4 linked regions of the Drosophila melanogaster genome follow. The protein of the gene in region 3 interacts with the protein of the main gene of each other region in a pairwise test. Each region holds a gene or a part of one and is shown on either strand. Other genes may lie near its edges. The genes, in order: kibra, cg, CG10086 and CG10918.

Region 1 (8,462 bases), 6.9 Mb from region 3:
AAGCAAACTAGAAAATGTTGCTGCTGGCAAAGCCGCGCGTTGCATTCATGCGCGTAATCAAATTGTAATCACGGCTTCAACTTCGACTGCAGCAGGGAGCAGCAGTCGCAGCAGCAGCAACTGCAACAGCAGCAACAACAATTTCTACTTGCCTGTTGTTGCTGTTGTTAAGTGGAAATACTTGTTGCACAAATGCAATGCATGCTGCATGTTGTTGTTGCTGCTGATGCCGCTGCCGTGTATCTGCATCTGTTGCCCGCGTACAGTGGTTATTGCCTAAGTGCCACTGCTGTTGCAATTTAAAATGTTACTACAATAACGTAAACTGAAATATGTATTAGCGTATTCATTGAAACATTTCATCTATCTTTTACGCTCGCTACTTGTACATTTGAATCAGTTTGGGTGCAATAAAGACTGTTTTGCAATCTTTTGACATTGTTTTTATGGCATTTATCACTGTAGGTGCAGCAGCAGCAAACGGCAATTGCATCTGCATTCTTTCCACTTTTCTTGCTGCCGCTGTTGTTGCTGCATTGCCTTGTGCAATTTATTAAATGAAAAATGCCGTTTTGCAGCTTTCCAAGTTGCTATACATGTACAGACCAGCGCATATATATATATATCTATATATATGTACGAATAGTTATACTTATATATGCATGTATCTTTATACATACGCGTATGGATGTGCTGGCATCTTTCGCCGCAAAAGCCAAATTGAATTTTATGCAAATTTTTTTAGCTCGTTTTGAGTCGGATAGAAATCGCCACATCTAATGCACAATGCCTGGCAGCACACGCATTCACGCCTCTCCCCTATTTTGCAGCTCTTGTTTCGATCGCCCGATTTGCGTTCTTTATGCAATTGGCCGATCCAGCAATCCAGCAATCCAGCAATCCGGCCATCCGGCGATCCATCGAAATCGAACCAACCGCTCGATTGTCCGCTCTCGAATTAAAATGCCACAGGTGGAATTAGAACGCAACAATCTGGTTGGGACTAGAGTACACAGCGAGAAATATGGCAACATACTGATGATAAGGTTAAGTTAATGTAGTAAGATATACCAATGAACTGACTCATTTATTAGAATACCGTTGCACCGTTTCTTGCGGTGCACCTATTGCTTTTTTATATCTTTTTCTGTGCTACCGATCGGATGCAGATACTCAAGTACAGCCCCCGCCGCTGGCGCCACTCTGTCCGACTTATGACAGCGATCGTTAACCGCTTTCGCTAGGCCTTTTTGGCGGCGATTTGAGTTTATGTAAAACAAACGAGTTCGAATCACTATCCCAACTGGTAGCCAAACGATTTTGTTGCTATTTCATACTTTGATTTTTTCCCCGTGCTTTTTTGGTTATTTCTTTTTTTTGTAGCTCCTATGAATAGATCGAAATACTGTCACCAAACACGTTTTCTGTCTAAAAACGCACACGAAAAATATTCCACTATGTCGCCGCCTTGTTTATGGCTAAACAATTGGTAAAAAAAATAATACACAAAAACTTGCGAAAAAATATGAGCAACGAAAGAAGAAGACGGGCGTCGAAAAAATGCCAAATCGCATGGCCAAGTCAAGTCGTTGTTAACTTTTGTTTATACAAAAAACAAAAGAGAGCCAACAGCAACGAAAATCACAAAAAATACCGCCCGTCGAAATGCTGTATGAACATTTACTTAAGTTGAATACGCTGCGAATTTTAAAATCCATTATTTTGATCAGTCATTTTATTAGTTTACAGACAAAAGTCATCTAATTAATTGATTGAATCTTACACGATTTACTATCTAATGAGGATAATGCCTAAACTTAAGCCGAATTTGAAAATTATAGACATTACAAACAGAATCTACTGTTAAACTATTGCAAACATGTTTATTTAATTTTAGAAAACCTTAGAAAAACCTGCGTCAAAGCCGGCCCAAGCAATTATCGGTAAAATATTTCAAGGGTATCGATAATTCGACCTTGCATGCTCATATTGGAATAGATATTTATTTTTTCTGTGATTTCTGTTGGCTGTGCTCGAAACGTGGCGAGGCCTTTAAAGGTTGCCCGAGGCCTGGCTCGCTTCGCTTTATTGTAGAAATTTATTTATGGTTTATTGGAATTTTTGCGCGCTACCGGCAGCAATTTTGAAAATTCAATAGCAATAGCAAGTTGGATGCGGGGGATCGATAGACAGCCGAAGAGGGGACCAAAAAGCGTATATGATTTGGATACAAAATATGCGCGACTGGGCAAAATACCAATAAGGGGTGTATACAGCATTAAATAGTTTTGTTTGGTCAATAGAAATGGTAAAACTATTTTGGAAAAATATGGAATAGTTAGTTAAATTCGAAGACATACTTTGCAGATGTATACAGAAAATACCAATAAAACATTTACTCTTGTTTTTATTTCTTATATTCTATGGTATCCCTCTTCATAATCTGATTGGTTTTTCAAATAGTAAGTAAATCCCCTAAGGTCATTTAAGCTTTAAATTTCTATAACCCCGAAATCGGAACGTAACGCTCATAGATCGCTGACTTTTTGTGCCCACTGGCAGACATTTGAACGACATGTGTGCATTTATAATCTACTTGATGCATAACCCTAGCAAATGCGCAGATGTTTCGTTTCAATTTCAAAGGCGGGCGGGCGGAAGAGCTGAAATTCCACAACGCTTAATTCAGTGAAACATTTTCAACAATGTCCATGCGATTTGAAACAAACAAAGGGAATGTTTGTGTTAATTGAAAGCGTGAAGCGCACACAGCACCAAACGAACTGAAACAATAAGGCGTACACAGATAGAAATGCACTGGAAAAAATTAATATTCAAGCTTTGATGGCTTAATAAATCATTTGCAACGTGATATTGAAATTATAGAGTGTGTCTAATGTCAATGAAAATGCTGTACAACTGCAGAAAGGCAATAAGCATTTGCTATCGAGCAATTGAAGATACAAAATCCATCTAACACTACACATTTCTCTATCTGTGAAAAGCGAAAAATTGAACTCAGCGAAAGAGAGGGCGAAGAATTTCAGAAATCAATTATTTCGAAACTGCAAAAATTCCTACGTACATTTTGCAATTGTTTATGGGCAAAGCAACAGACAGAGATGGCGAGTGGGGCGGCAGCGAGGGGCGCGAGCGAGATGGAAGACAAAAAATGTGAGCGAACGGCAAACTAAAATGTATCTATGAGATACATGGCCTGATCGCCAGCGCTCTCGCTCGCTCTCCTTTGGCTCTCTCGCACTCATTACGTATGAGTTTGTTGGTTTTGTTTTCCTTTTATTTTACAGATCATTCGCCGAGCTTTATTTAACTTTTGCTCTCTCTCACTCGAATTTTTGTTGTTGTATTTCCCTGGCTTTACAATCCATTTTTTGTTTGTTGCCACTCTCTGTTCAGTTCAGTTATATTCGGAGTCTTAATCATCGCATCGGAATGTTTACTCCAAGTTTTTCCCCCGTTCCGTTGCGTTTTGTTTTGCCTGCTGCCGCTGCTGTCTTGTTTAAAATATGTAATTTATTTTGCTGCTGCCTCTTTATTTTATTTTCCTTTTATTTTTCTTTTTTTTTTTTGCTTCATTTCGCCTCCACCGATCGCATTCCTTTACACACACAGCTGCAGCACGCACCTTTTCTTTCCGGTTCAAGAGCGCTTCGGAATCGGAATTTATATGGGTTTTTTTTTTAGCTCGTTTGCCGGAGCTTCCTGAATGAGTGAACTGCTGATCTCTCACCTGCGTTTTATGCCTTCTTAAGCCACTAACAACTTGCCAAGAATTTTATTCTATTTTAATTTGATTCTCAATGAGTTATCTGCTTCACTTATTAGCCATTAAGCAGCAATTGGGGTTTATAAGCACTCTTGATAGTTTGCGATGTTAAAGCATCTATAACTTATTTAAAACACAACCTGTTGGTTTGGTCATTCGTTATGTATGCCTCATTTCTGATAATTGTTCTAGTAGTTTTAATAAGTTTAAACTAACTTTCCAAATGCAAATATCTTATAATTATATTTCAGATCGCCCTTGTTTCAATTTCGTTTCTTTAATTGACCCTTTCCGGAACACTTACCAATCTCTGGGATCCAGCCAGGTGGTCTTCTTGTTGATATGATCTATGTAATAGGTCTTGCCATCGAAATCCTTGGCGATATCCCAGCCATCGGGAAGTGGGAAGTCGCTGTGGTGTTGTTGCTGCTGCTGATGATGCGTGTGTTGTTGTTGTTGCTGTTGTTGATGATGATGATGATGTTGCTGTTGCTGCTGTTGGGGTCGCAGGTGGTGGGGATGCAGATGATGCTGCGATTGCGATGCGGTTTGTTGCAGATTCGGCATTTTAACTTTGTTTCTCGCCGTGTACTTTGGTTAGTCTGAGAAAACGTCGTTGTTGCTGGATTTTTCACCCGACGCGCGCCTTTTCTTTCTTTTCGCTATTGCTATCTACGTTTGCTTCTTTTTTCGGGGGGTTTCTCTTTGCGCTGTTTACATTAGCAAAGACATTTCAATTCCGTTTCTTTTGCTCCGGCGATAATGGAGACCGACCCGCACACACACACACACAACACGGCCACACGGTGACGGGCGTAGAGGCACACACCGAGCCAACTCGAATACACACGCGCGCAGGGGAGAGAGAGCGGGAGAGCGCGGGCGCGCTCTCAATTATTTATTTACTTTTTTCGTAACTGCATTCCATTCCAGCTCAAACACACGCACACATATGGGGGACGAACACAAGCGCACACGATCACTGCTCACAGTTGGTGCTGCTTCTTTTCATTTCTTGTTGTTGCAAGCGTTTGAACTCCTTTACTTATTTTCTTATTTTCGCCTAATTGAAACTAATTAACGACGATAATCCAACCATCCACTTGGTGTTCACAAAAAAATATGTACTTCAGTTTAGTGAGTTCGCGCCGTCGCCGATCTCTTCGGTTCCGGAATTCCTTGGGGGAGCAGCAAAAAACACGAGTAGCGCGCTTGATGACCGTCCGATTCGGATTCGGAATTTGTTTTGGTAACATTCGCTGCTAGTGGTGTAGCAGAAAACATCGCATTGCATATCGATACACTCGCGGCGATGTTATTCGATGTATTGGTTGATATCGATATTATAGGCTGTATTGACGCGGTTGCAGAGATGCGATATTTAACAATCATGCACGAAAAGTATTTATTGTTATTTGGCTTGTGTAGTCCCCAAGCATAGGTGTAATTGTTGAGGGAAGAAAATAGGAGTTGTACGTTCAAAGATCGGCTTGGTAACAGGAACTAGTTCGGTTCTTCAAGCGATGTTAATCAAAGCCAGTTCCGATAGATCATGTTAACTCGCTCTGTTAACAATTACTGTTATCTTAATCCTAACATTTCCGTTACATTTTAAAAACAGAAAAAGAAAAAATTTAAAAAAAAAGACTGTAAACTGAGTTACGCATTTCGAAATCAATATGTATCCCAACCATAGATAGAAAAATAAATTATGTTTCCGAAACATAACTTCAATAAAACCACAATTTCGCTTGCTTTGTACGTTTGATATTGTATTTGCATTTTATGAATTGTAAAAATTGAGTCAACAAGACTAACACAGCTTCAGCTCAAGACACATGCAATTTCATTGACATTGTTTAATTGTATATATTAAAGGAAATCAATTAGGATATAAAGAGAGAAACCTTTTTGCCGCTTATGCGATGCCAACTATCTGGATCTGGATTGTCTAACACGAAACCCTAACTAATTGGTAAATTAAACATAAATTAATCATATCGGTCAACAACTACAACTAAATATTAGTTATTAGCGGATAAAGAGCGCCCCATAAACTATTTACACTAAGCTTTAGTCTACTAGAGTCCCGGATTCCATCTCCGCTCCTCGGATCTTCGGATCTTAACTCAGATGTTCGGATCTTCAAGTTCTAGGAGAGAACTGGTGCAGTGCATCCGTTATTCAGGCGATACTCGGCATAGACCAGTCCGGTGTTGTGCCAGTGATAGAAGGCGGCCACGATGATCAGGTGCCACCAGTTGTGCGAATGCCCAACGAAGTCCACCTTGCCGGTGAACCAGCGCTCCGGAATCTTGGCCGCATAGAAAACGAAGGCGACGAGGCAGAGCAAGTACATGAGCACGATGCGGGGCACCATCAGCTGCAAATGGTAATGATTGATGGATTAGCAAATGACAAGATTCCATAAATTTCCAACTGATGCCTACCCTGACTAGCTCGTTCTCCAGACCGCCCATGGCCACCGCCCAGTGGCCCAGAGGTATGATTCCATAGGCAGACCAGAGTAGCAGCACCGCCACCTTGCCGTTCATGGACACATTCAAACGGGGTATCTGCACGGCAATGGCCAGTGCGAACATGCCCAGTGCAATCGTGGAGTACAGGGTGCGCAGGAAGGTGTGGCACCAGAAGGCATAGTACATGCCACTGATATAGATGGCCACCAGCGACAGCGAAATGCCCAGGAAGTCAACGGACAGAAAGAGCTCGTAGTGCTCCTCCGATTTGCAGGAGAAGATGTGGTATATGGCGGACATCAGCATGCACAGACAGAAGCAGACCAGCAGGCAGACCACCAGCACCTGGTCGCTCAGGGAGGCGTGGAGGCGCAGGAACTGCAGATCGAAGATGGTCAGTCCAATGAACAGGATGCAACCGGCCAGATGGCTCCAGATGTTGATCTATGAAAAATATAGCAATAATAATGTTATAATAATAGGGAATAGAGTTTAAGGAAAACTATTGTAGCTCCAATTGGAATGGAGTATCATTCTAGTGTGGCAATCTTACCGTCTCATTGGTCCACCAGAAAATGCTCTGCAGGCACATTTTTGTGGAAGGTAGAAAGGTGCGGTATCCGCGACGAATGTACGGGTTGAACTTCAGGTGACTGGGGGCCTGTATCGAAAGCACAAGTGAATAAACATTCCAAATAAATACAAAATTTTCCAAGCCGATAAGACATGCAAATCGCATGCGTGTAGCATTGAAAATAAAATAAAAACCAAATAGACAAAATGACAAAATAAAATAGAAACAAACGGAATAATTCGAGGATCTGGCACCCCGCCGAATGTAAAAAAAAAAAACCAAAAAGCTTTCCATTTGCTTCAATTGAAAGAAAATAAAACTAATTAATCCAATTTGTGTTGTTAGCAATCTTGTATGGGAATTGATTAAATGCCAAATACTGTGTATATTATTTACTTTCTTTGAATTTAACTAGCTAAGTTTTATATATTATAAAAAATCCATTTAATTAGTTAAACAAGTGCTAAGCTAGTTTTGCACTGCATTTATGTATTATTACCTTAATTAATGCCTTTCAATCGGAAACAGTAATTATTTCAAGCCCGTTTTAAGCCCAGTTCGAAGTCGAATATTTAACTTGGTCAAAACTAAGCATGGTCCGAAAAACCCAAGAAATTCGATTCGGGAGTTACCTTGAGGATTTTCACAAACATATATGTATGTAACTTGCATACCACCCAAAGAAAACAACAGTAGCTTCTTTTTATTTGCCACCGCTATTTAAATATTTAATGCCCGCGAAGCACAGAGCTTTTTATTTGTTGCTAGTCGCGACCTTGATTCAGTTGGCATTTGGTGGGTTTGTTCGTTGTCTAATTGTATTATTTGGCAATTGCTGCCAACTCGACCGCCATGGCGGATTTCACATATTTAAGCGTTTTGGCCATTTTACAACGGTCGCTTAATAATGCTTTTCTGGCCATACATACATACGTATGACGATAACAATTGGCCAAAATCAGTGTTAAAGCCATGTAAAATGCAATGAGTGAATATTTTCTGCGATTTGTCCCTGATTCTGACGTATTTTTTCAATTCGCCAAACAAAATTTGCGATCAATTAGAATTCAGTGCGCGACAATTGGCGACAAATTGACCCTACCAAAGTTCGCGCGTGGGGTTAACTCACATCATCGAAATTGCACAGCCATTTGAATTTGGACAGCTTGTCGTCGTAGTTGGGTCCATGCCCCAGAATATTGGGCTCCTCATTGGACGGAAATTGATGCGCTGCGTCCACCGAATCCGCAACCAGTTGGCCATCAAGCTGCGAAAAGAGATTTAAGATGGAATTAGTTAAAATGGAGGAAACCCTATCGATTAGCGGCAATTCGAAACTTAATTTGAATTGAGGACAAGAACGATGCTCAAGATCTATACTCATATTCTTCCGCCTTAGAAAACTGACGTTGGCAACTGGCGGGTTTGTTTCTCTGCACATTTGTGTATATTTTTAGCCAATAGAGCAACTGCAGTCGAAAAATTGATTTGTTTGCTTTTATTTTATTATTATCTTTTCTGCGGTTTCTGCTATTTTATACGTTGTTGTTGTTGTTGTTGTTTTCGTCTGGGGGTTTTCGGTTTCGTGTGTAAACAACCAACCAACCAACCAACCGACTAA
Region 2 (8,777 bases), on a different chromosome or scaffold from region 3:
AAATAGTTACCCTAAGCAAATTGCAGTGTAAATACCCTTTCCTTATGGTAGGCTAAGTGTATATTCGAACGCATTGGAGCTGGGATACTTGCAGAATGCGGATGGCTCCATATCCTTCTATCGGGGCATGTTCTTTGGAGCTCTGGGCGGCTGCACGGGCACCTATTTCGCCAGCCCCTTCTACATGGTGAGTAGATCCGCTAGAGCTTCCCATCTGATCTCCCTCCATTACAGATAAAGGCCCAACAGCATGCCCAGGCGGTTCAGTCCATTGCCGTAGGCTTTCAGCACAAGCATACTTCGATGATGGATGCCCTGCTGCATATTTACCGGACCAATGGCATTTCAGGATTCTGGCGCGCTGCTTTACCAAGCTTGAACCGAACGCTTGTGGCCTCCAGTGTACAGATCGGCACCTTTCCCAAAGCCAAGTCCCTTCTGAAGGATAAAGGCTGGATCACCCATCCGGTTCTCCTCTCCTTCTGTGCCGGCCTATCGTCGGGAACCCTTGTGGCAGTGGCCAATTCGCCCTTTGATGTGCTCACCACACGGATGTACAACCAGCCAGTGGATGAAAAGGGGCGTGGACTCATGTACAAGGGCTTGGTGGACTGTTTCACTAAAATCTGGAGAACCGAAGGGATCCATGGGATGTACAAGGGCTTTTGGCCCATATACTTTCGTAGTGCTCCACACACCACCTTGACATTTGTGTTTTTTGAAAAGTTGCTCCATTTGCGAGATCGTTATGTTTTCTCCCAGCGCAGAAACTGAAGAGTCCAGTCCTCATGGAGCCAACTAGATTACTGTAAATCCTCGCATACAATTGTTAAGTCCCACGATGTGACAATCCTAAAATTTATAATTTTATAAATAATAAAATTGTTCATCAAAAATGATCCCATGAGTTTACCATTGAATGCACGTCAACTGCTATAAGTTTTTTTTCTTATGTAATTTGCTGCATAACATATTTACCTTTCTAATAAAAGCTTAAAATAATTATTTGCTGTTTGCAAATATTTACTGTGAAAAAGAAAAAGCCGCCAGTATTGCAATTTTAGTATGACCTCTCCTTATCGATAGGCGGCGATAGATGCGAACAATAACGCATCATGTCTTCGATTGTCAATAGTCCATTTGGCACCGATAGGCGCAAGCACAAACTATCGACTGGCATCTGGAAAGTCGGCGGCGTCACATATTTTTGATTGACTATATATATTTAAAAACAATTTGCGCAAAATGGCCACTCAGGTGAAGCAGTTCTTAAACGGCTACAAGGATGACGTGAGCAAATCGCTGCGCGATGCTTCCAAGCCGTGGACCAAAGTCTTCGATACCGTGGAGGAGAAGACCGGCGTGGACCGGGTCAATATTTTCGTGGGTGAGTGTGGAATATCCTGGCGACGTCATCGCATGTCCTTCGCCGAAACGCCCATGTAACCTTCTGCTAGTTGACTGCGTAACCATTGAGATTAGCCTAGAGATGCAGTGGAATATTTCGGGATGCTTATAAATAGCAACCTGTTATATATAGCAATGTGTATGTGGCTGAATCAGGATGGTCGGGGGGGCTTAATAGCCGCCAGGTGACCAATTAACGAATTAAACAGACGACTTAAACGGCAAAGCCCAATTAAATAGTGTGTCTATATTATCACCGAGTGCCTGCAACCAATACACCTCAGTTTGTGAGCATGCGATGTGTGCGTGTAAGCGACTACGTAGACAGCTGGCGATGTGTGCGTCTGTTATCCACAAAAGTTTCATGTTTTGTGCTTTTCTTTGTTTACTTCAACGAAAGTACACTTTTTTTTGCCCAGTACGCGGTGAGCAATACATTTGGCGCATTCCATTGCCATATTCTCTAGACGAAGATCTGGAGAAAGTCCAGTTCGGCGGGGTCAAAAGGTCTGAATTATTGAGACGTGGCGCTGTCGGCACACGTGGAGCCAATCTACTCACTCACCTGTGTGCGTTGGTAGAGCTTTCAGTTCGTTCGTTCGGTGCTCACCGGAGTTACCGATGTGGCTCTGGGACTATATTATGCTAATCAGACAGCGACAGGAGACGCGGCGCAATGTCAGAGTTCCCTTGGTTTACCTCGGCATAGGTGAGAATGTGGTCATAATGGCAAAAGTAGCTATCTTTCAAAACCGAAGTCTATATACACTTGCAAAAATGACGGACGTTGATTCATCATACAAACATTTGGCCTCATTAGCTGTTCAACAGTTCGGCATACTTTAATAATCAAAACAAATTGTGTAAACAAATATATGCATATTAGGGAACAACCATTTATGGAGAATTCGCAATTCACATCAAATGATCTGATCGACTAAGGATATAGTTTCTGTGGCTTGTAATGAAACCCACCTTTTTGCAATGATGTTGCTCAAATTAAAGTACCCTCAGCCAGGGTATAAATATAATTAGCCGCCATCGAGCATGAATGACATCATAAATTTATGGCAAAACAACAGGCCGTAGTCCGCTCATCTGGGTGGGCAAAATGCAACTGGCCGGGATCAGAGGCAGGTCGAGACATCTACTGACAACAGCTAAGGGTTTATAATTAGCCAACGGCATGGGGCGGTTTAAAAACCCCAGGGATCCACGAAGGGGCGCCCTTGAAAGCTGTACGAGCACCTGGCACTGTGCCCTTGGAACAGTTAGTCTTGTAGCTAAAGTTTGTAAGTGTTAACTCCATCTGATCACCCTGCGCCCTGTGGAACCGCTCCTGCCCTTGGACCTGCTTATAGCCATAAGGGAAAATGCGCCACTAGGGCAATATCAATTGACCAACTAGATGGCGAACATGGCAGTCGAGGAATTAGAGAGCAAAATTGTCCAACTGTTCGTAGAGAACCCCCTCCTGCGCTACGGTAGAGCTCCAGCAGTGACTTAATGCTATTTACTAATAAGGTATTATATTTCATCATATGTAGGTGCTGTTGGTCTGTGCGCCATCTACCTGATCTTTGGCTGGGGCGCCCAACTACTGTGCAACATCATTGGGGTTCTGTACCCTGCATATATTTCCATCCATGCCATCGAGTCCAGCACAAAGCAGGACGACACCAAGTGGCTGATCTACTGGGTCACGTTTGGAATCTTCACCGTGATTGAATTCTTTTCGAGTCTGCTAACTTCGGTGATTCCCTTTTACTGGCTGCTGAAGGTGAGCTTTGCATTCTTCACATATAAGAATCTTCTTTTAAATGCTTCAACTCCACATGTAGTGTGCTTTCCTCATCTGGTGCATGCTGCCCACGGAACAGAATGGTTCTACCATCATCTACAACAAGCTGGTGCGACCCTACTTCCTGAAACATCACGAATGTGAGTAAATTCACCTCTTAGATATTGCAATTTTACTAAAAGGAGATCAATATTTGCACACAGCCGTTGACAGGATCATCGATGATGGCATGAAGAAAGCCGCTGGAGTGCTGAAGCATGACTAGAAGGCGAATGTACCGTAGCTCCGACCGCTTCTCGCTTATCCATGCATTTGGTTTTGGGCCTGGTCACCAACCTCACCTCGTATTGGTTACGTTTTGCAATAAATTTTAATTCTGTATTCATTTTGTTGTTGATAAGAGCACCAGTGTTCGCTGAACCAGAAGAAATCTCCGTTTGTTAAACGTAAAAACGAAAAGGAGGCTTTTATTGAGGCACAACTATATTTATGCGGTTGATTCCGCCTTTTCTGGCGACGCCTCCGCTTCAGCAGCTGTCCTCCGGTTCCGCCAGGCGGTCATGTAGGTGCGCGGGTGGATGGGCAGTAGTCCGGCAATTCCCAGGAGTTCTGCAGCCGGCGTGGACAAGTGTGCACCTTTGCCCAGCCAATAGCGAATTCTCTCCGTGTTCAGGGCCACCAGTCGTTCGTTGTAATCGTTGGGCAGGGGATCAAAGGAGCCCACCTGCTCGATGACAGGCTGGTGCTGGTTCTTGCGCCTCTAAACCGGAAAATACAATTACCAATTAAAAGTTTTAACCATTTTAATGGCCTAAAAGTACGCACCTCCATGACGACAATGTGATAAAAAGGCCGATTGGTGCATCCCAGGCGTACGAAACGTATGATTTTTGCCGACTTGGCGTAGAAACGACCAATGCCACTGGCTGGCGATAGAGACATCCCGATATTTTATATATCTAATACAAGTTTTGGCATAAAATAAGGATTCTTCAATCAGAAAATGTGAATTGTTATGCAAAGCATGACCGTTGAGGGAAAATTTAACAATACCAAGCGATTGGGTCACACTATTAGTTAGCCCTAACAGCGTTGCCACCTCCGACCGCCCATGTTAGACAGTTGCGGCACCTCGACAACCCTGGCCTGCGCACACACAAGATGGCGTCAGAGAACGAGAAGCACGAACACTAAGGAATTTGTTCAGTGGTGTCTGTGTCTGTGAATTATATTGAAGGAAAAAGAGTGTTTTGTTTATAAATTTAATTGCAAAAACTGCACATCGTCACACGGGGCGCGTGCACACACATCGGCGCACACGCACACCCACGCCAAGGCGACACCTAAACGCAAAACGGAGAGTGTGTGTTATCAATGGAGTGTGTGTTCCCCAACGCCAAGTGAATTTTTTTCGTTGAGACCGAGGGACGGAAAAAAATGGCGCCCGCAGCCAGAGCAACTTGACTTTCTTTTCGGTCCTATATAGTTAGTAGTTGCTTGCCCCCGTCTCGTCGTCGGCGAGCGAATTCGGTGATTTTATTTCGATTTCGTCGCAGTGCGATATCCCCAACGAAGAAAACATAACGAATAATTGATGAAAAAGTGCTTGAGAGAGACCCCCCCAAACGTATTCGAATTTGTTGTGTACATTTTGGCTTCGAACACAGCCGCAAAAATACCATTACCAATTTCCACTTACTACTACTAGAGAGGAGGATAGTATTTTGTACGTGCTTTAGAATACATACATACATACCTACATATACCACAAGCAAGCGAGAAGTGCAATTACATTTGCGTTTGGAAATTTTGCGCTTTTTTCTCTTCCGTCCTCCCATCCAAAAAAAAAAACCCCCCGCTCCCCCTCTCTCTCTATCTTTCTCAACCCGCATTGTGCTAAATAATGTGTGCCGCCCAGAATCCGCCGCCCTTCGGCTATACCTGGGGTTTTGCGGACAACGGCAACCGCGCCGCCGAATCGGTACTGGAGATATCGCCCAACATCAACTATACAGTCAGCGGGGAGTCGGTGAGTCCAAAGTTATAGCTCTATTAAACTGATAAACCCGTTGAAAGCTGCCAGTCTGAGGATATTTCCCCCCTGTTGCCGACATTGCTCCAGGTGCGTGCGTGTGTGGGTGTTGGTGCTGCTGTTGCTGTTGCTTTCCCACACCGAATTGTGTTGTGGCCCACCAATGCATACACACAAACGCACACACGCACTGCGTTACACTCGCTCACGGACTCGCTCGTCTCACCAACACTCGCTGCTTTCGGCAACGAACTGTGTATGTATACGGCCCGAATGGCATTCACGTATACGGTATACGTGGAAAACGAGCGACAGCAACTGCGATATACATACTTACGTACATGTACAACGTATATATGCATACGCCACACGCTTTATGTAACTGCGTTGTCATGCGAATATACGAATATGTACGAATGAACGTACGTATGTATGTTTTTATGGGGGGGATGGAGCGAGTGTATTAGAATTCTTTTAGCATACATCCATACGGATTTTTTTCGTTTCCATTTCATTCGTAAACATTCATAATTTGGTATTTGTAAAACGAATGCGTACACAATTGGCTCTGTGTGCGGAGAAATTCCCAAAATACAACACGCGCACCTGGCGAGCAAGTAAATAAATAAATAGCAATAAATTCCCCCCACAGGCAAATCGGAGCAGTTAATTAGCGGGAAGGTCGTGAAATTTTCAAAAGTCTGGCAGCTGGTACAGGCAATCGATGCTAATCGATATTTTTCTAGGCTATTCATGCATATATCGCTAACCTAATTTAAGTTCTATTAATAATTATTGCTTATCCATAGGTTTTTTTGTTGTTTGTTTCTTTTTTTTTGAGAGCAATATTTTTTGTTGTGCAATTGACAGGAGAAATTGTGTTTGTTGTTTTTTAGTTTATATTTGCGGGCACTTATACAATGGCAAACGCGGCGAATTCGCCGCACTTGCGCGCCCGATATCTCCGCATGTGTGCGTCAGTGCCGAATTCGCCGCGCTTGCTGCCCTCTGTATGTGTGTGTATGTATGTATGCACGCACACTCGACCAGAAATGACGTGTGCTCCCCAGTGTGCGTTTGGTGTCGTGCGTGTGTTTTGATTACTTTTGCCGCACCATTTTGGCGCCCATCACACACACTCCCATGCCACGATGTCCAATTGCACTCACACACATACAGAGTGAAAAAGGCGCGCTTTTTGCGAACATCCCCTCCCGCTCTTAGCGCCCAACTTCCCCCCTCGTTCGTCGTCTATCATCTGTTGCCGCACTGCTGGCTGCGCAGGTGTAGCGTGGTTATTGGCGGTTATTATCAATCAGAGCGAAAACAAAAGACAAGCACTTGGCCAATAGAAGCATCAACCGCCAACAACTCCAAATCACAGCCTGCAGATCTTAGCGAGTGGCGACTGTACTTGCTGCCAAGTTTTAATTTCCCAAAAAAAAAAAGGTTCATGAAGGTCAATTCATTCATAAGTTTGAGCTGAACAATAAAACTGCTACAAGTTTACTTCCTCTCATTTGTTTAAATCGTTTTTGGGACATTAAAATTGTAGAAATGACTAGGGGCAATGTACATAGATTAAAAATTATTTATTATTCTTTTATATAAAAGAGCCTTTGTTGTTTGATATGTAACATTTCTTGAATGAAAGATAGATTTATAAAAAAAATGTGTAAGCCAGGCTTTCCTAAAATCGCAATTCCCAGGACCACGTGTAAACTAAACATGCAACTCCTACAACATAAGCATTATTAAGTTTATTTAGAAATTAGGACAAACCTTTAATTTATCCCCATTAGCCATGAGTACTAAAAGTCTTTGTTCCAGATGCCCTATCTACTATCGACGGATGGATCATTGGCAGTTCAAAAGGATGTCAAAGGCCTTACAGCTGGCGGCAAAAATAATGTCGTTCGTCGTATGTTCGTCGTAAACGATCCTTCATTTCCGCCTGGAACACAAAGGTGCGTTGGCGCTCCAGCAGCCCAAAGAGATCCCCAATGTACATATACCTAATTCTCAATCCCTTGCAGAGTTATCACTGCCGGCGGAGCATCGACGGTGGTCAAGAAGCAGGACAACAATCAGCAGGTCCTGAGCCTCGACAAGAACTGTAAGTGGATCGATTCTAAACGAATCAAAAACCCATCGAATCGATTCAGTGTTGCACGCATTGCTGTTACTGTGTTGTGATTATCTATATATTTTGGGTTTTCTGTTAATCGATTGTTTTTCTCTCTCTACTCCCGTTTATTTATTTAATTAATTTATTTTTTTTTTTAATTCTCGCTCGATCTCGCTCGCCCTTGAATTCAACCCGAAAAACCGAACCCGAAACCGAAACCCAAAATCCACCATCTCCTCCGATAAATCCCATTGTGCTTGTGTGTTTGCCCGATTTTGCTATTGCACCCGATCCACCACCGACCCACCGATCATCTCGTTAACTGCACCGCATAAAAACTACAACATTACCATCTCACCATATAATAACACACACACAACACCTCATCACTTGGCGGGCGGCGGGCGCGGGCTGATCGAACCTTCCTTCAACCGAAATGAAACGTATCAACCCATCGAATTGAAAAAACAGATCTGCTAGTGGATCCGGCCACGGCCGCAGCAGCTGCAGCCGCCGCTGGTGGGGATTCGGGTCTCGCCCACCACCATACGTTGACCAATGGCAGCATTGTTGATGCGAAGACCGGACAGACGGTGCTAACCGCCGGATCTGCGGCGGCCAAGTCGCACTTCAGCTCGATCGGAGCACTGCATCTTACGCAAGAGGAGTGCAACGAGATCCTGATCAAGCGCGCCATCGCTGCCGGCCACCATCAGACGCACACGATCACCGCTGCCGACGGATCCCATCACCATGCGTCCGGCGGGACACCAAGTAAGCATCTCAAATCTGTGTTTGTTACCCCTGATCCAGTCCCTCCTGCCACCTACTCCTCCACACACTACACACTACAATCAGATCTGATCCCCGATTGAAGTAATCCTACCGGAAAATACCCGGCATATTGGTACATTCTCGGTTCCGGTTGCTTTTACCTGGTTGCGTGGTTACGTTGTAATCATAGTTTTTGCCATTGTTTAGTTGGTCTAACATTGTTTTAAGTTTGATTAACCCAATTGAACCCAAATAGTTTGATTTTGCATATTCAGTTTGTTCGGATCTTTGATTTTTTTCCTTTGTTTCTTCTCTATTTTTTTGTATCTTCCTTTGAATTCCATTTGGCTTTTGTTCCGTTGGCGGTGCAACAACACTCTTAGGTGACATACTTCCTGGTATTTCAGTTCAAGTGCAGAAAGTCATACAAGGACTGGAGGATAACGAGGACTCGCAAGGCGAAGCACCCAACCTAAAGTTGGAGCCAGGCACATTAGAGTTGTCCCCGAAGACCGAACTACAGGAATCAATGCATTTCAGCGAAGTAAGCCAATCTCTTTGGACGAAGTTCAACTGAATTATTAGTGTGATATACTAATGGGTTATCTGTTTATTTTTAGACGGACGCCACCATC
Region 3 (8,756 bases):
CCAATGGGGCAGTGGGATCATGAGGTAGTGACAGAACGGGTACTGGTTGATTGGTAGCGAACTCTTCAGGGGGTTGAGGTGGAGCCGATGGCATGGCAAAGTTGGTGTACATGGGGTAACGCGGAATAAAGTCATCCGTGCGATTGTGCTCATCCTGATCGATGTCGATGAACCTTTCACCAAAGTTTGTGGCCTCCTCGAAGGTTGGTGGCTCTAAAAACATGAATAGTATAAGAATTATACAATGATCAAGCACCTTTAAGCATTTACAAATTCAAATGAAGAGTATCTATGATTTCGCTATATACTTACTGCACTTGTCATAACTGGGAGGCAGATCTGCGGCGGCTCCGGCAGGAGTGTCCGGCGTTTCCGGTATCCACTGTGCTGCACTGGCTGGATTCTCGGCACTTTGGATCAATGGTATGGTGCCAATTACAATCGGCACCTCAAAGTCCGAGTCCACGTGGCAGTCGCCAGTGCTGATCGTGAGGATAACTTGGTAACTAACCGAAATGATGCCTTCGGTGCGGGAAGAGGGCGGTACTGCTGGAATAGCCAGGGTTCCTTCAATTTTTTTCTTTGAGAGCCTCAAAACGCGCTCCTGCTGGCAACTTTTGTTGAGGCTGTGCTCCTTTTCGCGAGTTTTGTGGTGCGGCGTTTGAGCCTGGAATTTGTAAATCTGCTTAAGTTTCAGTTCGATCCCATTCAGATCATAGCCACTCGACTGGTTGTCAATCTCCAGAGTAAAGCGTATCTTCTGACCAGGCGCGTAACCACCGAAGGGTATTGTTAATGTCGATAGAACCGGGCCTGAACTGCAGGGCCAACAGCAAAAGTGCTTGATGTCCTCTCGGACTAGGGGCATCTGTCGAAAAAGAGTGTGCATTTATTAGTTCCTAGGAATAACTAATATTACCTAATTACTCTTATTGATATAATTTTAAAGTTTAATTAACATTTTTTTGTTTACATTTCTACAGGTTAGGATCGTAAAAAATTTATTTTTAATTTATTTAAATTTTTTATTTAGTCCCATAGCTTTGGTTTGAATGAACACACCCCTTGTTTGTTTAATAACTTCGGAATTTACGTCCATAAGGCACGCAATGTTTCTATACTTGAATGACTCGTCTAATTGTCCTTAAATATCTGTCGCAGGACAATTTAAAACTGCATTGATTTACTACCGATTAGTGCAATCTAAACTTTTAGTAAACTGTTCCTGTCCTTGGACTCACCAGCAATTGGGGGCTCATGTTGAGGTTGTAGGTCTGTATGACCGTCAGTGGCTGCTTGAAGACGTTGTTGAAGCGCCACTGGCGATCGATGACCACGGAGACCTCGTAGAAGATTTTTCCGTACTGGGCCACCACTGATGAGGGGCATTCCAGGGGCAGTGGAATGCAGAAGTTGTAGGTGTGCGTACCTGGCGGCAGATTCCCGGATCCAAAGACCGATGTCCGGGTGTACAAGTACTGCTGCTTGCCTCGGAAATACTCCGTGTAGTGCTCGGTCTTTCCACCTCTCGTCCTTGTTCGCCGCTCATCCCATCGCACCTTTGCCTCGCCCTCGAAAAGAATGTATACCTCTAATCAGAAAGTGAAAAGAGAGAGAGTGATATTTGAATATGGTTTGTATCCGAAAACGAATCTTTATATGTTGAACGTATGTGAAAGCCTTCTTCGGACTCCGAAGGAGTTGCTGTAAGTGCAGAATGAGATTACGCCAATCAAAAATGGAACTGAACATGGAAATTGATACAGAGCACTGTATCAAATACTTGTTTGCTTGTATACATACTTTTGTTATCTTTTGTAAAGCTTTCAAGTTTGTTTTTAGAATTGGCTATTTGAAAAACGCAAAAATTGATCAATGAATTTGTAGTTAGGGGCGAACTGAGCTCATCAGGGCATGCAATTTAGGATACTAGGAATTAAACATTTGAGACAATTAAAGCCACATAAATGGTCGCTAAAATCCTTCTTATATAAGAAGCAAAACACTTTATGGCGCTACAACAAACTTGTTTGTTTGCTGCATTCTATAAAACCGGCTTGGTGTTATCACAGAGTCAACAGTGATTACGCTCAAATTAAAAACATATCAGTCCATTCGCTTTTTAACGACTAAAACTCACCGTTCACAGACTTTTCGGATGTTGTTGTCAGAATGGCCCTTCCATTGACCGTCTCACCACTGTAGTAAATGGGTTCGCGGCGATCGAGCTCAAAAGAGCAGCTGGAAGGCATTTTGGAAATGCAATCTATTATTTAGTATGTGGGTGCTGGCACATATATTTCGAAATTCCAGATCTTATTCACTGGCGACGCGCAACGTGAATTTATTTAGCACCAGACAAGCGTCGCACCCGAAGTGAGAATTTAGAATGAGAATAGCCGGTCTGCAACAGCTGGGATGTCAGTGACATCATCACTTGGCGAGAGCCAAAGCTTTTCTGGTGAGCGAGCTTTTGGGGCTTCCGCTCACTAAAAAAAAAAAACAAAATTGAGAGGCATCGGATTTTGATAAACGGTTCTCTTTTTTGTTTGTTTTGTTACGAAGAATAAGGCAACAACAAATCTAAAAATTTGTAAACAAAAATCAGGTGGGTTCTGTGAAAGCTCTAGTTTAGTTGAGTTGTTATTATCGCGTTGTTATTATTTTTTGGACGAAATACGGTGAAAAAGAATCACATCAAGTTAAGTCGTCTATGGACTTAAGTCTGTGATAGTTGATTACGTTTGTTAATGATGATTTGTACTCATTTACAAACGCGCAAAAGTCCAAGAAGTTCCTGATTTTCTATCGTGGTGCGTAGCAACCAAAGGGTATCTTGACAGTCGAGAGAATGTTTGATCAGTATTAAGGCGATAAATGCATGTCCGTTTCTATGCTATATATTCTATATAATTCGGAATGGGCCGGATCAGATACCTGTTACTCAGATAGAGAGGAAGTTATACATTTTTTTTTTGCATTTTAATGGAAATTGTCAAGCAATAGAATTAGAAATTGGGAGCATGTATGCGTAAATCAAAATTTCTAGCTCTCATAAGTATTTAAACTCACGGACTGAGCTAGAAGTCCTCCACTCAATTTAATTTATAAATGAATAAATAAATTTGTAGTTCAATGCCTTCATGGACTTGGTTGTCTAGGCTATAGTCGCAATTTATCGCGTATCACCCAGTAGACACTTTTATATTCTGGGTTGTTTATCATTCCGATATACATACATATATAGTAAACATTTTGGTAAGTACACTGGCGAACCGTAAAAGAAATAAATACTGCCGAGATAAGATATAGTCGTGATTTTTCGCGATAACTGCCCTCAGATCTGCACGGGTGACTCCACTGGTTGTTTCTCCGGTTGTTGCTTCGACTGTCCAGGATCGGCAGGACGTCTGCGTCGGCGGCGCCTTTTCTTCTGGGGAGGATTTGGCGGCGGGCTCTGGAAGGTGTCCACATCGAAGACCGGATAGCGTGGAGTAAATCGGGAGGCCTCGCTGACCGTGTTCGCGTCCGTGTCCGCAATATCAGTGGTCATGAACATGGCCTGCTCGTAGGTAGGAGGAGCTATAGAAAAAATGACATAAAAAATATGGAGAATGAAGAATGAAACTATCGCCTCACAATAGCATAACAAAAATATAAAGAACATATACATAAGGGCTCTATTTAACATCTTTCATAACAAAGTCCTAGCTAGAAATATTTTGTTCTCTTGTACTCACGTAAATCTGGTACGAAATCGTCGGCGGCCTCCAACTCATCATCTCCATCCTCTGGAAGCTCGAAGTCCTCTAGATCCTCGGCCATCTCGTAGCCGGAGTTGCTGACCCCGCTTGCGGCCATCTGAGCCAGTTCCATGGCCCTTGTAGAGGTGCATGGCAAGTCGGCAGGCAGCGAACTTCCAGATGGGAAGGCGTTAGTTGGCAGGAAGTCCGGTCCGGACACCGCAGTTGCCAGGGGCACGTTGCCAATAGTCACAGGGATTATGAGCCGGGGATTAGCCATAAGCCAGTTCATAACAGCCACCACACGCACTTCGTAAGATACGCGCACCACCTTGCTTAGGTGCTCGCAGGTGGGCGCCGTTGCCGGAATCCTCAGGGTTTCCGTGTAAGTCCTCTGCGCATTATGAGCCACCGGACCGCACTCGCGCTTCACCAGCATTATCTTCTCGGATGTGGTGCGTAGCGAGGGCGTATCCGCCGTGTATGTGGCTCTCAAATGCAGCATGATCAGTAGCTTCCGACAATCGGAGCTGGAGTCATTACGCACATGGGCGTGGATCAACATGAACTGACCCGGAACATAGCCCTGCTGCTGGAGAGTGACCTTCAACTGCACGGGCTTCGTGTGCATCAGGCAAAAGTGTTCCACGGCTTCATTGCTCGCCGGTTCCCGGAGCATCTTGGTCTCCTGGTTCAAGTCCAGCAGCTTTAGCACAGTGAAGCCCACGTTGTGGGTGCGATTGGAAGCTCCTGGCTTCAAAAAGGTGACCTTGGCCAGATACCGGATGTGTCCATAGGCACCCTCGAAGGACGAGGGGCAGTGGCTGGGAATGGGGCAAGCAAAAGTGTAGGTGTACGTGCCGGCGTCCATGTTAAAGTTGCTGCCCTGCTCGGAACCCATGAGGTAAGTGGTGGAGGCTATATAGTCCTCCCGCCCGCTGTACTGGTGCTTTGATCGCTTCTTGGGGTTTTGGATTGCCACCGCCTTACCATGTCTGCGGATGCGCCACTGGGCTTGCGCATAGCCACTTATTTGCAGTTTTATTCCTAAAAGACAAGAAATATTAGAATATGTAGATCTTCAATAACATGACTTCTTAACAGAGAAATATGAGATGTGCTGACTAACATTTATAATATTTCCATAATAATACTATAATATAGGCTATAATATAGACAAAGAAATCAGTACCTTAATAAAAAAGTTAAAAAAAAATACAACGGGCTTCCTAATAAAACTAGCTCACTTTGTTTATCTCTTTGGGTTACCTCATAAGGTAGGGGTAATATTAGGATAAGATAAAACAAAAGCGAGAAGCACTGAAAGACATTTCCAAAAACAGTTAATAAAAGCGTCTTAGGGGCATTTTAAATTTAACTAATACGGAAACTGTTGACGCACACTATAAAATTATTCAAATTGTTTAAATATTTGATTTGGGCTGCAAGCACGCAGATGCAAAATGGAAATGAAATAACTTAAAGACAAAAATTAACCTTTTTTTTTTTAAATAGAAGTAGAAAACATATATTTCGAAGAATCAACAAAACTTGTTGTCCATATCACTGCAAAGCCCAGACGAAAACCGTGAGTAAGTTCCCTGGTATTTCCTCGAAAGAAAATATAATTCGTTGGGTAGATCCCCAACTATAAGTAAGGTTGTTATCGCTCCCCTTCGGCTCCAGGAATCATCAATTATCGCACATTTGGAGTGTCCGCATAGTTATCACTTAATTACCCATTTCAATGGTTTGTTGAATCTTTTGCTTTTGCCAAACCTGACATTATCCGAAGCGATAAGATACGCCGCGCTCGATAAGCGAAAGCCCCCACTAGTTTCCGTACTGTTGGGGTATCCTAGTTGGTCTTACTTACCTCGCAGTTTCTTGGTCTTGTTCAGATTGACAATCACCTTGCCGGTTATCACCTGGCCGGTGAAGTAGGTGCCGTGCTCATTCTGGTCGAACGTTATCATGCAGTTCTTCGACATGTTGGCGAATAGGTAATGGGCTTATGCCTCTCCAGAGCTTTTAGATTTGCGAGCGATCCTAACGCGCCCGCTGCTAAACACGAACTGGGCCAACTGTATTGCTAACATGGCCTGGACTCTCATTTTCAGTTTTACCGTCGGCTGGCATTATCTTATCGGCTCAACTCAGTACAAAACCCACTGCAATATTTGTCTATCTGGATAGTTGGCAACGCGGCCAGTTGAGAGAAATTCCTTCATTAATTTATTAACAACTTATGCGATAAATCAGGGACTCCATTATCCTCTATTTCTTTATTGGTACAACGCCCTATCATCGCTATCTCAACCTTGGGAAAACTGGCCCTCATCGATCAGTTCTGCCTGCCAATTTCGTACTTCTCAAATTGCTGTCACTTACATATGTAAATACTCCGATAGCAATGGTAAAAATTTGTGTTTAAATACTGAGATACCTATCGCATTGATAAGATAAAATAAAAATGTTGGCCAAATAAATGCTGCACAAAAAATAAAATAAAAATAGCCGCAGCGGGTGACTTCAGTTTGTTGGGAGCCACGACACAGACAGGGCAAAAGTTAAACAGCTCCCGGATTATCATACAAATTATTCCGCACAATGGTAATCTGTGAGATTGAGTTCTGCAATAATTCCCAAGGAATTTTTTATGCAGGCCAGTTGATTTCAGGACAGGTGGTCATTAAAACTGAGAAGGAAAAGTCAGTGAAAGGTAAGGCGCTGATTCATTTTGCTCTACTCAAAACAAACGTTACTTGCTAAAAGACTTAATTGATTTGAAGTGCAAGTGTTGCAGGGGCTTAAAATAGCTTTTATTTTTACTTCAGCTGTAATCCTTAACATCAAGGGATATGCCGAAACCCACTGGGCGGATACCGAACACGATCCGGATGATCAGTCGAATGGTGAATCATTCAACGGACATGTGGACTACTTGGCCACTAGGGCTTATCTGCACGGGTCTAGTTCCAGCATAGGTATGTTCGAAGATGATAAATCACCATAAATCTAGAGATAATGAAATCAAAGCTCCATTTCAGAGGTGCTTATTGAGCCTGGCACCAGCTCGTATAGATTCGCCTGTCAGTTGCCCATCACATGTCCCTCTTCTTTCGAGGGGACACTAGGTCGGATACGTTATCTGGTGAACGTGAGGTTCGTGCGTCCGTGGAAGTTCGATCTGAACTTTAATCGATGCTTCACTGTGATCAAAGTGATGGACCTGAACTCCGAAAGCCTAATGCTGAGGGTATGTTTCTTAGTCTCTCCACACACTATGGAATAGTCCACTGTACCATGTGTTGTACCAAAGACATTAGAATAATGTCTAATTCTAGTGTCTTTGGTTGTACCATGGTCAAGTATAAAATTTTATATTTTTATATTTTATAAATTTTAGGTACCTAGTCAAGTGGAGTCCCAGCGAACTTTCTGCTGTTTTCCCTGCCGCTCGTCGCCACTCAGTATGCGACTTTCTGTTCCACAGAGTGGCTTTGTGCCAGGACAGATCGTGCCGGTGGAGGTGATGGTCTCCAATGACAGTGGTGTAGCCGTGGAGGACATAACCGTAAAACTGACTATGGTGGTGATTTACTACAGTCAACCCCCGTCCGCGGACACCAACAAGGACCGTTTTGAGATGGTCCTGAAAACAGGCGGAGGTGTGTCGACCAAATGCCGGCAGCAGTTTACCTTCGATCTTAAGGTGCCGCCAACTCCGCCAACCTGCTTTAATCTATGCAGCATCATTCAGATCGGCTATCAGGTGGAAGCGGAGGCCAGAGTTAAAGGTTGTCATGGCGGCCAGTCCCTTCACATGCCCATAACTATTGGAAGTGTCCCGCTAACGAAGCAACTCCAAAAAGAACCAAGGACTTGGGGTGAAGTTCTGCCACCCCAGCAGCTAGATGCGAAGGCTTTGATTTTAATTGGCAGCGAACAGAATGGAGAAGCACTCGGAAGCCCCAATCCTTGGGCTGCGGATCCTTCAATTGGTGAGTAAAATAGGAGCTTTAAGGAAATTCATACAAAACTCCATATTCGAATTTAAAGATCATAATTCAAGGAATCACTTATTTATTTTAGCACCGCCGAGTTATGCTGAGGCTAAACACATCTCCCCGGATCCGCACAAGTTCTCGAAATCGAAGAAAAAGTCTCAGAAAAGAGGTGTAAAAGGATCACAAGAGAGGAAAGCTGAAACAATTGTGTTTTCACCCTTATACGCAGTCTTTGATTTGTCAAACCAAGTGGACGAAATGACTTTGAGAGCAAATGAACCCAAGACTGATGGCGGCTATGTCAATGAAGGTGTAGAAAAAAGCACTTGGCTTTAGAAGGGCTTAAAAATGAATGTACCCACTCTGTAAATAATTAATAAGTAATCGAAATACAACAGACATGACAATTACCCTGTGGTTGAACGCAAACTGCGGGAACTTTTCGTCGACCTCAGTGAGCAATATTTGCTGAGTTGTGCGATATCTTATCGATGAGTTAATATATTTATTTGAGTGAAATTGCTATCTTCAGATGCGAGAGCCTCAACTCATTTGGGGGCACTTGTTTTTACACCACAAATATAAGTATCAGCTGTTTTTGGACCTGATAATTCAGTTCTCATGTTAGCTGGTTACGAATGATCTATTTATTGTATAAAAAAATTGTAGGGGGTTTTTGGGTTTACCAATAAATAGATTTATGGGTGTACTGATAAGATAAATTACCAAAAGCTCTCCGTTGCACAAAATAAGTGGTAAGAAACTTTTTAGTTCAGTTTGATTGCGGCAATTGAAGGGAAAACATCTTAACAATTAACGACAGACTTAAATTCATTAAAACTTGTGCTTTAACCATAAAAAACCATGGGAATAATTTGCCAAATTCTTTTTCACAACAACACGCAAGGGGTTTTTTACGCGGGCCAAATGGTTGCTGGTCAAGTGACTCTGAGCACTGATAAGGCGATTCAAATCAAAGGTAAGTACTCAGTTGTGATTGCGA
Region 4 (6,698 bases), on a different chromosome or scaffold from region 3:
GTAAAAGAAAATTTAGAAAAATCGAAATGAGCAACGATGAAAACGAGATGTGATGTGATGTGATGAGTTGAGGTGTGAATGAAGTCATGAATACGAAGCAGGGAATCGGGCCAAATGAGCTCGAGTTACGTGAGGAGAACGGAGCACGGGTGGTGAAGGGTGGTAAAGGGTGGGGAAGACGGGGACCGTAGGAGAAAGGTGGAGAAATTCGGAGAAATGCGAAGAAAGGGGCTGAAAGGACTCCGTTGACGAGGAGACGAGCCATGGATGATGACATTTCTGGCATTGCCGTCGAGCGATTCACGTTTACGCGGCGGCTCTCGTCACGTCTGCAATATACGTCAAATGCTCTTGACGAAAGATCCAGCCAGCTCCTGCTGCTCCACCTCCCCACCCCCACCCCCACCTCTCCCCGGGGGGACAACAAAATATTTGAGCTGGGAACACGAACCAAATAAAGACAAATTGCGGCATTGAAAGGTTTATAAAGTTTGAACCAGTCCGAGTTTCAACTCGAGCGGATGCTAAATGAAAAATTCAATTCGTGGCCACTCCCCGCTCATCAGGCACACTGAGAAAAAAAAATGCGATAAATGTAAGGTACATAATGAGACTATACAGTTTCTAAATAAAAAGGGCAGATGAAGGGATTTTTCGCAATAAGCTCAGTATTGAGTCGATATATTGCTAAGTTTTTTTTTTTTGTAGGTAATGGAGAATTGAATAAATTTTAATCTAATCGTGTTAATGAAATTGAACAGTTTCAAAGTATTTTTCAGAATTAAAATGAAATGAAAAACTATGTTTTTAGTTATTTTTGAAAATAAAAATGTTGCGTATCACTGAGTTAATTTGTGCTAGAAATGGAAATCAGGGAAATGACATTTAAGATGTTGCTGTGCAACTTACCATTCTCGCGCTGCCAATAATTGATGGCCTTCGGCGATGCCTCGACATTGCAAATTAATGTGACATCCGTAAGGACCGGGGCGCCGACCAATTGATTTGGCACTTGCACCAGCGGATGAACTGCGGAGGAGAAGACGGAGCAAATGGGTTGGGAGTCAGTGTGGATGGTGAATGAACCCGCGCCCGGTGGCAGTGCCAATTAATAAGCCATCAGTGGCCTTGTGACCTGGCCCACCCGCCTCCCCGTAAACCCGCTGAATCTCTGCTTGTCCTCCGCCCTAAACCCTCAACTCGTAACCCACAACGTTGCCCCCGCGGACTAGAGCGGCAATTAAGCTGGCCGCCACCAGGGAGCAAAGTCAAACTTCAAACCCTTTGTCTGACTCCGGATTCCCGATTCCAGCTGTGATTTTTATTTTTTTTTTTCGCTGTCGGTTAATGGCAGCAACGCCAACAACAACTGATACGATTTTAATTGAAAATGAATTATTTTGTTGTTAGAGTGGAAGTCAGCAATCCTGGCCAGCAATCAGGACCAGCAGCAGGACCACGAGCCTGCAGCAGCAGCAGCGCAGCAGCAGCATCATCCATCGTTTTCGCCCAGTGGTCAGTCAGTGGCAAATAAAACGAGCAAGCCATATTGCTAGTTTCTTTTCGGATTTTCCTATTTTCCACTCCCTACTAGGAATACAGTCACTTATCCGGCTGGGCTGGGAATTGGCTTTTCTTGTCGAAGGAGTGATGACCCCAGAACGGTTTAATGATTCCTCCACTAAAGCATCTTTCGTTTAAACTCTTGTATTTGCTTCAGCGATTTGTAAGATTTTTATTCAGAAACTATTACGCAATAGAAGAGCTCAATCTATCTATTCAAAATCATAAGTTTTCGGGATCTAAAGCTTAAAGTTAGATATTGAGAAACTATTACGCAATAGAAGAGCTCAATCTATCTATTCAAAATCATAAGTTTTCGGGATCTAAAGCTTAAAGTTAGATATTGAGAGAATATATAGCACTTGTGTTTGGGAAACAGCAGGGTGTAATTTTGTAAGAAAAGGGTTTCAAGGCCTTTAAAGCGACGAATTAATTGTTTTACACTTGCTTTGCTTCGAATAGAGCATTTTTAGTTCGCCAAGGACGTGCCATTAATTCATTGGGCTTGCCCTTTGGAGCTTTTCCATGTTGTCCGTGTCGTGTTGAGTTTGTTTTTTTTTTTTTTTTTGTTCTTTTCGGAATTTTTTGCAAGTTGATTTTTTGCGTTCTTTTCGTGTCTTTTTTTTCGAGCTTCTGGCCCCTCGCCCTTGCCTTTGACGTTGTCTTGAAGCCGCCCCAGGGAGCGCAGACGGAAAAGCGAAGGACCAAAGTACCGCAGGCCAGAGCCACTGACCATCATTGTTTTTTGGCTTTTCAACTTTGCTCCCACGTTCACCCACTGCACAGCGCTCTCGCCTCGAGCTGCATTCGAGCGTTCATTATTGGTCAATTTATTGGATTTGGACATTCCGCACTCTCAGCCCTCTTCTATATGGCGTCCGGATTTTCGGTCCCTACTCCTACTAGGTTCCCCGCACGTTTGTGCCCGTGCCCCCGTTCGTTGCACCACCCCTTTGGACTCGAAATGGTGCAGCATATGTCATGTGGTGTTCTCAGCGGTGTCGGGTGTTTCCTATTATGTCCAATTCTCGCTTAGCCTACCACTTATTGAAAATTCAATTTGCCCTAATAGAGCTATTCGGCAGGCAGCTGCCAAAATTAAATTATCAAAATAACTAGCCTTCATGCTGTTTACTTTATGATAACAAATGATGATATTTCATTAATCAGATGATTGATTTGCCTGTCGATATCGAAGAAATAACAGAAACGATAATTCTCTTAAGAGACAGCTTTCAATCTCATATGCTAATCGAGATATTTTTTGGTGCGAATCAAAGGTCTTAATACGAACGGACATTGCTGAATAGATTCGGCTAGTCTGTAAGACTAATATGACTGTATATGACTAATATATTCCAAGTTAATGAAATTAAGTTTCAATGTGCCAATTAGATTTTATTTTCATACATTTCCCAGAAAGTTTTCAATACGCTGCAATTGAGACTCAGAATCTATCCCGAACCAGTAGTGCTCTCCGTGGAGCTGCTATCAGTGGAGCTATCGGTGGAGCTATCGGTAGAGCTATCGGTGGAGCTATCGGTGGAGCTATCGGTGGAGCTATCAGTGGAGCTGGCAGAGGAGCTGCTGTCGGTGGAGCTGGAGGAGCTGCTAGTTGTGCTGCTGGTGTCGGCCAAGGAACTCTCCGTTGTCGTCCACCAAGGTCTTGGGCGACGAGGACGTGGACGTGGGCCCCAACCGCCAGGACCGCCGAATCCACCATTGAAGCTTCCGGGACCGCCAAAGCGGCCGGGACCTCCGAATCCTCCACCACCGCCAAGTCCTCCAGGCCCTCCAAAGCGACCAGGTCCGCCGAAGCCACCGGGGCCACCAGTACCACCAGGACCACCGCGACCGCCGAAGCCACCGCCTCCACGTCCTCCGAATCCTCCAAGACTTCGGCCACCGCCTCCGCCGCCACCGCGTCCACCACGTCTTCCGCCTCCCCCTTGGGCCACGACAACTGCCACCAGGGCCAGCAGGGTAATTGCAATGTAGGCACGCATTGTGGGACTTTTGCTCCAATAGCAACTGATTTGAGTTATGTACGTGTAGCCCCTTTTATACCCAAAAATTCGGTGTCGAATTCATCCATCAGCCTTTTTGCTAAGAATCCCCCGTGACGGCAGCATTGGCTGTGTGCTTAGCTGGATACTCCGAAGAATGGAAAATAGAGCGAAGAACTCCCTGAAGAGCTGAGCTCGAATTCTTCGCATCTAATAATCCGTGTGTTTCTCTTGTTTCATTCGTCGTGTGGCAACAGCTGGTCGATGTTTGAATTAGTTCCATTGTTCTATTCTTCTATTTTAATACAACCGTTTGAGTTTAAAAAAAAGTGCTGTGTCAGAGAGGGAAGTTTACAGAAATTTACGCAGTATCCTCACAATGAAACAAAAAACAATCATAACGTTAGCCAAATACTAAGACGAATTGTAAATTTGCTTAGAAGAAAATGAATGTCTATTTGAAGGTTTATAACCCTACTGCAAATTTTTGTTTATTTACTTTGTTTATTTGTTGTCAACAACTGGGTTACTTATTCTAATAGCACTCGTTTAAAAGTTCTCTTAAAATCTATGACTCAGTCGGAAAAATTATATTTTTTGTTCATTTTTTCATTTACATATTTATACCTGTTACTTGCTGAGTAAAGGGGTATACTAGAGTCGTAGAAGCGTATGCAACGGGTATCTGTTAGTCGGTTTACTCGACTATAGCATTGTTTTATACTCCAGCATCGAAAGTTGAATTTTCTCATGCTTTATTAAAAGTTAGGAACTATGTAAATTCATTAGTTTTTAAGGCCTTTCAATTGGTAACACTTATTCGCAGAAATAAGTCAATTGATTTGTAAATACACATGCTTAGCCTTCATTTGCGCCATTTATTTATGTCTAAAATCTATCTATATCAACTGCCAAGTAATAAACATATATTTCTTATATTAATAAAAAAATATGTATAGAAGATCGAACATCTTAGAGTGAATGTGGATTAAGTTCCTGAAAAGTAAAGCTCTGAACAGCTTTTCTGACTTTCCCAATTCGAGAGTTGCGGATGTCGAGGAAGAGAAATCTTTAACATTAGTGCTAATACATGGCAAACGACCTCGAGGAGCCACTTAATTTTCTGATTAGAATCAATCAGGGCGTCGAGTGAAATGTGCGGCTGAGACAAGGACACCTAGTTGGGCGGCGGGAGTGGGTGGCGTTTAAGAATCGCGAATATAGAATGGCGTTTCCCGCTTTCCGCACATATGGGGATTTTTAAATTGAAATTTCGAGGACCGGAAGGTGGGTGACTTCGTTTGGAGTAAAATGAAAATGAAATGACAAAGAAAAAGAAAAAGAAATTTGCGGCTTAGATAAAAAAAAAAAAAATATAAATGAAAATTAATTTTTGCGTCAAAAGTAAGTACATATGTGTGTGTGTGGCTGAAGAAACTGACGCCACATATTCACGACCGTGTCAATATAATTTTCGGATACAATCTTTTGGGTTTTCAGAGAAGCTGGTGGTTCTAGGTATTCTTCGCTGTCCCTCTTCTGCTTTCCCCTACGGCTTTCCTTCATTTTCCCGTACTTTTCCCCTTTTTCCGCCTTTTTTTCTGCGTTCTCCCAATTCCTCTTGCTTTTGCGCTTGCCCAATTGTCGTCGTTTGAACTTTTGCCCCTTTTGGAAATTTCATTAACTTTGATGCGGGAAGGTAAAACAGTTACAGGGGGGGTTTTTTAAGAGGTCTTAAAGGGGGTTTTTTTATGTGGGCAGACAGAGGGATAGTGCAGAACTGCAGAACCTTAACAATTACCACTTCACATGACACACAAACTCGCCAACTCACACAACTTTAAAGTTTTACTGCAGAAACGTGACGTTGCGTTACCCCAAGAAACACTTCACACCCGCCACCCCCCCACCCGTTTTCCATATTTCCCGTTCCCCTTTCCCCATATTCGTAGGGAAAAATGCCCTTTGACCCAACATCCACAAGTTTGGCGCCCTAATGCATTTGGAAAGTTTGTCGGCCACGTGAAGGAAGCTGCCGGATATCGAAACGGAAACACTTGCAGTTGCCGCCGCTGCGTTATTGCTGCGGTTCTGTTCCTGTTCCTGTTCCTCTTCCGCTTCCGGTTATAGTTCTGCCACATACATACGACTCCGATACGGAACAGCCCCCTTCTGGAACAAGCACAGCACAGCACATCCGAACGGGGCTATATGTTACCATTATGATTATTATGCGGCATTAGCTGCCTTCGACTGCCATAAATCAGTCCATTTTCTTGGCCAACGGCTGCAGGTGGCGCTACCCATTTATCATGTATCATATATGGATAGTTATATACTGTAGTGGTACTCACAGTGCACCTGTAGCTTCATCCGCTTGCTCACCGTCGGTGGCACTCCGTTGGAGGCAATGCACATGTAGGCGCCCATTTCCGATCGCGTGATCTTCGACAGCGTCAGCATTTCGCCCTCCACCGATTGTGCTGTGGGTGAGGAAATGAGTATTGTGGTATAGGGGTGAGTACATAACAATATGTGGTGGTTGCTTTAAAATGGGCTCCATATGTTTAAATTATTGTGTAAATGTGTAGTTCGGTTCGTCTGCAGTTGGCTTTAAATATTTGTATTGTTAATCAGGCAGGAAGCATACAAATTTTTTATTTTTAAATGCAATAATTCAGTTTTGCAAGTCCGTGAGTAGGATGCATTGCACTTACCTTTTGTTTTCTGGTGTGAGCCGTTGCGGGCAATAATCTCCCTGCCATCTTCGCGTCGCCACGTGATCTTCGGCTTCGGATGACCACGTGCTCGGCAAACGAGCTTGGCGGATCCGCCCTCTGGGACCATCATGTCCCCGGAGGTCTCTTCGTTTATAATGTCCGGTGGGATGACCACTTCCAAGGTGGCCGTCTGCAAGCGAAAACATTTCGGATACACATTAAATTCGCCATAAGGTTCGCTTATTCGACCTGTTATATATATTACGCATACGCCCAGTGAACCATACAGCCATACAGCAAGGTATATATATATATATATATATATATTAGTTCTTTTAAAAGACTTTAAAGTTTTTTCCTTTAATACAGAACTTAATGATTTCGAATCAGTATTTACTAAGCTGTTTTT

Evidence for each region.
Region 1: the proteins of CG10086 (region 3) and kibra interact in a two-hybrid assay, tested with the Drosophila melanogaster proteins (one large-scale study listed by BioGRID).
Region 2: the proteins of CG10086 (region 3) and cg interact in a two-hybrid assay, tested with the Drosophila melanogaster proteins (one large-scale study listed by BioGRID).
Region 4: the proteins of CG10086 (region 3) and CG10918 interact in a two-hybrid assay, tested with the Drosophila melanogaster proteins (one large-scale study listed by BioGRID).

Annotation. Positions count from the first base shown.
Region 1 is NT_033777.3:14,719,220-14,727,681, forward strand, and holds the start of kibra (kibra), read right to left. Parts: upstream 5,043-8,462; 5' UTR 4,355-5,042; coding exon 4,092-4,354; intron 1-4,091. Other genes in the region: CG7530 (uncharacterized protein), read right to left, coding at 5,940-6,170, 6,238-6,711, 6,821-6,928, 7,971-8,108. UniProt on the Drosophila melanogaster protein: Regulator of the Hippo/SWH (Sav/Wts/Hpo) signaling pathway, a signaling pathway that plays a pivotal role in organ size control and tumor suppression by restricting proliferation and promoting apoptosis.
Region 2 is NT_033778.4:14,169,336-14,178,112, forward strand, and holds the start of cg (combgap), read left to right. Parts: upstream 1-4,357; 5' UTR 4,358-5,111; coding exon 5,112-5,237; intron 5,238-7,070; coding exon 7,071-7,207; intron 7,208-7,276; coding exon 7,277-7,356; intron 7,357-7,839; coding exon 7,840-8,142; intron 8,143-8,489; coding exon of another isoform or gene 8,490-8,525; coding exon 8,526-8,686; intron 8,687-8,762; coding exon 8,763-8,777. Other genes in the region: CG18324 (uncharacterized protein), read left to right, coding at 52-187, 235-774; ReepB (receptor expression enhancing protein B), read left to right, coding at 1,246-1,387, 2,955-3,187, 3,249-3,348, 3,412-3,473; mRpS16 (mitochondrial ribosomal protein S16), read right to left, coding at 3,696-3,968, 4,034-4,150.
Region 3 is NT_033777.3:7,787,705-7,796,460, reverse strand, and holds CG10086 (uncharacterized protein), read right to left. Parts: upstream 5,829-8,756; 5' UTR 5,735-5,828; coding exon 5,620-5,734; intron 4,791-5,619; coding exon 3,741-4,790; intron 3,583-3,740; coding exon 3,338-3,582; 3' UTR 2,978-3,337; downstream 1-2,977. Other genes in the region: CG2641 (uncharacterized protein), read right to left, coding at 1-213, 313-868, 1,242-1,591, 2,141-2,252; CG18746 (uncharacterized protein), read left to right, coding at 6,354-6,465, 6,581-6,730, 6,794-7,002, 7,153-7,747, 7,839-8,089; CG18748 (uncharacterized protein), read left to right, coding at 8,618-8,732.
Region 4 is NC_004354.4:21,425,675-21,432,372, forward strand, and holds CG10918 (uncharacterized protein), read right to left. Parts: upstream 3,583-6,698; 5' UTR 3,570-3,582; coding exon 3,018-3,569; 3' UTR 2,940-3,017; downstream 1-2,939. Other genes in the region: DIP-beta (Dpr-interacting protein beta), read right to left, coding at 910-1,029, 5,924-6,052, 6,287-6,479.